2 linked regions of the Schizosaccharomyces pombe genome follow. The protein of the gene in region 1 interacts with the protein of each later gene in a biochemical or structural test. Each region holds a gene or a part of one and is shown on either strand. Other genes may lie near its edges.

Region 1 (3,962 bases):
GTAAACGGCCAACTTCATTTGATGCAAATTCATTGAAGCTACTTAAAATTGAGGATTCATTTGACATAAAGGAATCGACATCTTCATGCGTGGTCTGACTTATAGTCCTCCTCTCTTCTTCTGATTCATATATGTTTAGTTGTTTCTCAAGTTGTTGGTCAGGAAAGTTACGTAGAAGTTGTATAACTTCGTGTATACCTGATTCACGAAGGGAATCCAATATATCAAGGTCAAATCCTTGCTCCAATTCTTCGCAAGCAACAATTAGCTGATTGATAAATTCCATAGTGGAAGTACAATACTCAAGAAACGCTATGTTTGAAGGTGAGCTGGAAGCAGAATTTCGAGCAGGAGAAGATGGAGGGGTTCGTGCTAATTCTTTTTCCAAGATTATGTCTTTGAAAGATTTTATCCATCCAAAGAATAGCGGAACCTCCTTTTCATATTCGGCATTTATTTCTTTAAATCCAGTTTCCAATATGGAGACCACAAGAGGTTCCTTTAAAGACAGAACCCATGTCAATAAATCTGCGGCTACTTTCCTCGGAAGCAAATTTGGGGATATAAGGGTCACTGTTATTGCTTGAAATATATAAGAATTGGAAGTAACCAGAGTAGGTTTTTTCTTCAAAAGAGTAAGCATGCAACGAGGAACTTCAGCTTGCTGAGGCTGCACTACGGCAGACGAATTAAAATATGTAAGTAGATTATGCAAAGCTCGAAGTCCCTGCAGTTCAAGAAAAAGAGATATCCATCGATCGGATTGAGTTGATAATAAAGAAGAAAGTGTGATAAGTTGTAAATTACTAATTGTTTTATTCCATAGTTGGATTACGAACCAGGAAACAGGTCTATGGACGGCAGCTAATTCTGGAATTTGGAAAGAAGGATCATCAAACCCGGCGAAGTTAGAACGAATAAAACACCACTTTTCATCTGGAGTACAACTTTGAAGCATTTCAATGGCGTTTTCGTCAAAATCAAATACAGGGTGTCTTAAAAAATCGTTGAATAGATGTATTAGCTGATCCAATGAAGGTGGTCGAGTACTCGGAATTTCAAACTGAAACGAGCATACCGAATTAGGGCTCCCAGCTCGAATTGAACGTAGTCGATAAACTTGTTCATCATTAGTAGAAGTGAATTTTGGGGAAACCTCGTTGGTAATCTCAGGGACTTCAACAACAGGAGCAAGTTTATGCTTAGTTCGCCTTTTTGTCTTAGATACTGGAACTGAGGGAACAGGAGGTTTCGGCAAAGGATCAAAAGAGCGAGAATGTACAGGGGGTGTCACTGGAGCAATTTGGACATCCTCAGAACTTTTAATAATGTTTTTGGGCAACCTAGGACCCTTGAGATGTTTAGAAGTGTGCAAATGTTCAACGGAAGACGAAGATGGTAGATCAGTGACTTCAACTTTATTCGCTTTGGGTCGATGGACAGTAGATTTCTCGGGTGTTTTAGGTAAAGGAAGCTGGGAATTTTGCAAAGCATGTTTATTATGAGAATTGTACTCTTTCGATGAAAAGGTAAATTGCTTTACATACGGAGAAGTAACTGATTGGGACTTATTAGGCTGGATTAACGTCGATACTGATTCTATGGATGATGGAGGTTTATGGTACGTTGTTTTGGACTTAGGAGCCCTTGGCCCAATAGTTCTTCTGGCTGATGGAGTTGGAGTAGACAGAATAGAGTCATAAGAAAAATTAGGGTCCTGTCCCTTTGACGAATTTCGCATCTCTACTTCATAAACGAATGCAGCATTGTAATTGCTTTCAGGATCTTGTTTTCAAGTATTAACAAGGAAACTGTGATGAAAAGTTTTAGCTCAATTAAACCTTTTTTTTAAATTTGCTAAAAGTTGATGTTCAGAACTTGTTGACCTTCAAATTTGGATAAAGTGGAACACTTAGCGAGTAAGGGTTGGGATGGCTTAAATGATCTAAGATAATACGTATACTTGCGAACAAGTAAGTTGAAAGGAAATGAAACTTCGATATATCTAATATTATAATGGTTAAATTGCGTTATAGCGTATTAAATTTTATTTTTAGGATAATCGAAATTCTCGTCTTGTAAGTCTAGTCTGCATTTGGATGCGGTTTCTGGTTGCTTAAAACGTTGTTCAATGAGAAAATACATTCGTGAAGATCATTTTTACTTACAAAGCATTCGTAACATATTTTGTTGTCACGTTGAGCTAAATATAACCAGAAATTTGCAAATAAACGAGAATCACAAGAACGAATCCATTGGTGCTTTTATTTACATACCATATTAAATTACAATAACGAATTTTCACAATTCGTCCCTAAGTGTTCGAGTTAGAAATTAAAGAAACCTATACGATGCGCTGTATGTAACGATAAGTTTTTATAATGTTGAATTGATTTCAGCTACTAGCTTTAATTCTACCAAGCGCTTTTTGAACAGTTTAATTTTTAAAGCTACAATCCGGTTAGAAACATAAAGAACATGTGATGGTTATTTAATTAGACTAAATGATAGTTCTCAAACTAAAGGCGAGTTGCTTAGGATAGTGCACCTTATTGTCAGGTCATTCCAAAAATAATTACTAAAGGAAAAACCAGAAAAGGTGAGCTAACTCAAAGTTGTAAAATAAGTAATTATGCCTCTGTACTGACAAATGTCGAACTTCTGGGTAAGATGGGCTTAGTTATTAACAAACGAGGTTGAGAATAACACATACGTAGTAACAGCATTTTCAAAGAAACAAAAAGTCGTTTTGATCATTAATACGCCATTAACAGATACCAATGAGAGTAAAGTAAAGGTATCGTTGTGTCAACTAAAACTTCTTTCTAGTGTGATCAAATTTTGACCGTAGCAATGAGCCGGAAGGTGTAGAGGAAAGAGGTTTCGTGGTGGAAGGTGATTTTTGAAGACTTCCGACACCTTCAAACAAATCGTCAAAGGTACTATGTTGAACAGAAGGTAATCGTCGTAAAGGGGGAGACGAAGCAGAGGAAGTGGAGGACGATAGCCTCCTAGGATTGGCCGGAATATATGAAGCTTTTAAATTTGAAGGAGCCGCATTACTTGCATTTATGCTAACTGGGGAAGTAGGTCCTGTGTTAACTGGAGGCTGCCATCCAGGAGGACGAAGCCATTCAGGTAATGTCCCAATTTTGTCCATATAGTATTTTCTCATTACACGAGCAACGTGAGTATCTTCAATCGTATTATCGCTTTCAGGGTCGCGAATACGATTAATTTTTGAAGAAATCGATAACTTTGACCACATGATGAATCGAGAGTTCGCGTTTCTTTATGTACTACTTAATCTCTAAATTTTAAAGAACCTTGGCATTTGAATTCAAAAAATTTCAATAAAAGTAATTAATAAAAAAGTTTAGCCATTATTATGATGCCAAGAACGGCTTAATATCTGGCGACGCGGATTTCATAAAGACGCCAACTCGCTAAACTGTCTAAAGTGATTAATAACACGACCATGAACTACATTATATGTTTTAACGAATGTAAAATCAGCACATAAATAGATAATTTTATTGCAAATGTCCAATTGATTAATATCTTACAAATAAAAATAATTTGTGGGTGGATTTAAACATTTAATTTAGATACTCTCGAAGATGATGCATGAAATCGGCTAAAAAAAAGAATGAACGATGAAAAGCTTGGTAAACAAAATCAATACTGAGCAATCTTACTATGTAGTAGCTAATTAAGGTATACATAATTTCTAAATGGACTACGAAAATGTAGTTTTAAAATAGTTAGGTAAGTTTTAATTTTACTACTTGTAGTCTTCCAAAAATCATAAACTAGTATCTACAATAAAAATTTCTTTAAATTAAATATATGTCGGTGAAAAAGAGCCTCGCCCTTAATATGTATTCACTACGAAAACTAAATAAGGATATCGTATATATTAGTTGTTCTGCGTTCACAAAGCTGAGTGCATTTTTGGAGTT
Region 2 (3,600 bases), 1.1 Mb from region 1:
GACAACCTAGATGACCGACTTCCGGTAGCAGTAGGTTGAAGTTGACTACTCAAAATAATATCATCATTATCTTTCGTGATAGCATTCTCACTATTTTTACCTTCCTTAACTTCGGGTGATATATCTGTTGCAGCGGGTATAGCCTGTACCTCAGTCTCGGCATTATGAGAGGATCTAACATCCATTGAAGTCAAAGGACGAGCAGCTACTTCAAAAGTTGGTGATGTTACAGAAGGTCGACGCATTGAGCTCCCTGTAAGTACTGGTTTCTGGGATTCAGCTTCTTGTATAGAAGGAACGGGAATAGAAAGTTCAACCTCTGTAACTTGTTCAACTTGTTCATTAGACACTGGCTTAACTGGTGAATGCAATGGTGAAGTAGGTGGTGATGATACAACTTCCGATGAAACTGTTTCACTAGTTTTGGGGCGAAAAGCGCTACGTGTTGGCGAACTTGCCAAAGATGCAGAAGCTGAGGGACGCGAAGAGGAGTATGGATAAGAAGGAGCTTTAGAAATGAGCTGGTCGATGTCATAATTTAATCCGTTTTCTTTGAAATAGTCATTAAACTCGGGTAAAGGGGGAATTGTAGTTCCGGTACCTTCGTTTTGAATCATTTGAGTAATATCTTCATCAATGTTAGTGTTTTCGAGTGTGAGTCGAATCTTTTCACAAGATTCATCATCTTTTACACAAGCAGTAGATATTATATTTGCATAGGCCCACATGTTTGTTTTGAGAAACTCTAAACGATATTCCTCAATATGTTGAAAAGCATCACAGACCTCTGTCCAACGATCAATCCATTCCCGAGTAACTGTAAGAAGTAATTCGTTTGTTTCTCTGTATTCCGCATCCATTTTTTTTACTGCTAGCGCTGCTTGACGGATTTTTAAATTGTATTTGTCTAATTCACGACCAGTCATCTTTTTTGTCTGTCTCATGTAGCTATTCAGCTTGTTACAACTGTACTCGTAGGCATCCTTCTTCTCGGATAAGTCTATTTCGAGAGCCGTTTTTTTCTGATATAATTCCTCAATGGCATTGGCTGCAACAACTTTCTGTTGCTCCGTCTGATCAATGTACTCGCGAATTTTATTTCGCAATTCGGTATTTATCTGTTGTGAGACTTCTTCATGCGCTTTGGCCATACTCCCTGTTTCAGTTCTCATAGATAAAATATTATTTAAAGTTGATCCAACTTCTGGGATGTCTGCTGAGCTGGCAGCTAACTCTTGCAGTTTAGATGCGTACTCACGCTCAATAGAAGCACTAATTTAGTTAGTCAGACTTTAATCAATAATCATACCGAACCCTTCGGTTCATTACACAAGCTATCTTAAGAATCCACGATTATCTGTAAAACATCTTAAATGACAATGAAACGACCAAAAACATATTTCTTGAATCATCGTAGCGCTTAAGGTAGAGCTGCAACTTCCAAACGAGGCAACCATACTTACCGCTTTGCGTAAAATTCATCAATTGATTCTAATACGGAAAGAGAAGATTTTGTTCGGGACATAAGAGCATCCATACCCGCATCTTCAGATCCCTGCAACGATTTTGTTAACATAACTTTGCTTTACTAAATACAGCAAATTTACACATACCCAGAAATTATCGCGGAACTTAACAGAAGATTTGGTAACGTACGGAGCCGCTTCAGATTGAGAGACTCCATTAACCTCCATTTTGTTATTGAAAGAACAAAATGCAGCAAAATTTGTGATTTGTTGTTGGTAAATTCCTGGTAGTCGATTTCAGGAAAAGAGTAAACATGTTTGTTTACTGCGACTACTGCGGTGACAACCGTCCCTAGCAACCGTTGCCTATCTGAGTGCACAATAAGCAACTGCAAATTAACTCTATCCTTAAATTTTGTTAAAAAAGTTTACGAAAGATACAGTCTCGTTAAATTTAATGTTCGATCCTTTCTTAGACTGCCTGGCAGTGAGGAGGACCGACATATCTTTTGCAAAACACCACTGCACCTATTTTCATTCAAACTTGCTAGCAGATACTGCTGCATCTCATCTGTAAATATTCAAAGAATATATCAGCTGAAAATAGCATAGGAGTATAATAATAGCCTCACAAAGGCATGGTAATAGAAAAGCGTTAAAAATATGAAGAGCCAAGAACAACAAACGCCGGAGACACGAGAGAAATCTAGTTCAACTTCTGAATCTGGGCATCCTATATCACTAGATTCTAAGACCCCTCCACCAAACGATTCAAAAATTGAAAGTATTGTTAAAGCACAAATCCTTTTCTTATTGTCGACCTTACGGGAAGACCAATATGATACGAAACTTGAACAGATTCGTCAACTTATCAACAAAAATGCACCCAGAGTATACCACCATTTTCTTCGCCGTCTAATTCAAGGAAATTCATACCGTATTTTTGGTACCGGTAAATCTTCTGATGGACTAGCTACTTATAAATTACTACTAGATGAATTAAAATCTCTCACGAAGTCTTGGGTCATGGCGAAACGTTTTAGTGATGCTATTTCAGGTTCTGATTCTGAAGTATTTGAAGATTTCGATATAGAGGCATTTTTAGACCATTTCCAATTCTCCCCGTTAGAAAGGACTAACCTTTTAATTGGACTTACCACTTCTGTTAAACCTACTTTAGCAAAGAAAGCTTCTGCTTTGCTTAAAAACACATTCCAATCTCTTTTAAACCAACTATCCGATCCTACTCAGCAACAAAGTATTGATAAAAACGATTTGGATTTGCTCAGGGAAGGTTTGTTTACCACCGACTATGACAGAATACCCTTGATTAAAGTTCCAAAGTTTGATGCTATAATTGAGAAAAAGTTGGCGAATTCACGCCCTCTTACAGCTTTGTTTGGTCCGATGAAAGCTTCCAAAGCTACACTTAAGTCTATGAAAGAAGCAATTCTTAAAAAATATCCCCCGGGAACGGCTACTGAGACTGATGTTGCTTATCTTATAAATTCACTTGTAGCTATACATGATTATGGTGCTTGGGACACTGTTTTGATGGGTAAAGCTATCGTTTCCTCTTTTGAAAACCTAAATTGGGAAGCTATGCTTTCTATGTTCGATAATCCTAAATTTATGATAACGGGTACACCTAGTCTTGTACTGTTCTTCACAATCTTTACAAATGCTTACAAGTTAAGGCAAACTAATTTTACGTTGGACTTTCTCTGGGTTCTTTGGAGAAATCCTTTACCGCAACTTTCCATCATTTCTCATATTATCCTATCCCCAACATCGATGTTTGATATAAGAGAGTTCAATGTCAATCCTGTAGTTTCTGTTGATAGCTTAAAGGATTATAGCGAAGAGCTTGTTAATTATGCGAAAATATATGAAAAAAGTAATTTAAATTGCATTGAACTTGTCCAAATCCTTTTACGCCTGTTATCTGAGGTAGTCACCTACGAAACTTCACTGTTCTTGAATTTTTTGGATGAGAAAGTTTCTGCCGAGCTTTTGCTTTTGGGTACGCTGCAGCTCCCTTTGGCATGGAATCCTGTTCAAGAGTCATTAGCGTTTCAATGGTGTTCAGACTTTTTTTCCAATTTCAAAGAACATAAATTTGTCTTCGTTAGGA

The links. The genes of interacting proteins can lie anywhere in the genome.
Region 2: the proteins of cdc12 (region 1) and cdc15 form a complex in vitro, tested with the Schizosaccharomyces pombe proteins (4 studies listed by BioGRID, with this or other methods).

Annotation. Positions count from the first base shown.
Region 1 is NC_003424.3:281,255-285,216, reverse strand, and holds the start of cdc12 (cytokinetic formin Cdc12), read right to left. Parts: upstream 1,874-3,962; 5' UTR 1,742-1,873; coding exon 1-1,741. Other genes in the region: exocytic docking protein Mso1, read right to left, coding at 2,813-3,268. UniProt on the Schizosaccharomyces pombe protein: Plays a role in the cell cycle. Involved in cytokinesis. Component of the cell division ring. In the absence of profilin, caps the barbed end of actin filaments, thus preventing subunit addition and dissociation.
Region 2 is NC_003424.3:1,401,193-1,404,792, forward strand, and holds the start of cdc15 (F-BAR domain protein Cdc15), read right to left. Parts: upstream 1,745-3,600; 5' UTR 1,695-1,744; coding exon 1,614-1,694; intron 1,556-1,613; coding exon 1,464-1,555; intron 1,288-1,463; exon of another isoform or gene 1,273-1,287; coding exon 1-1,272. Other genes in the region: CCR4-Not complex subunit Not1, read left to right, coding at 2,130-3,600. UniProt on the Schizosaccharomyces pombe protein: After the onset of mitosis, forms a ring-like structure which colocalizes with the medial actin ring. Appears to mediate cytoskeletal rearrangements required for cytokinesis. Essential for viability.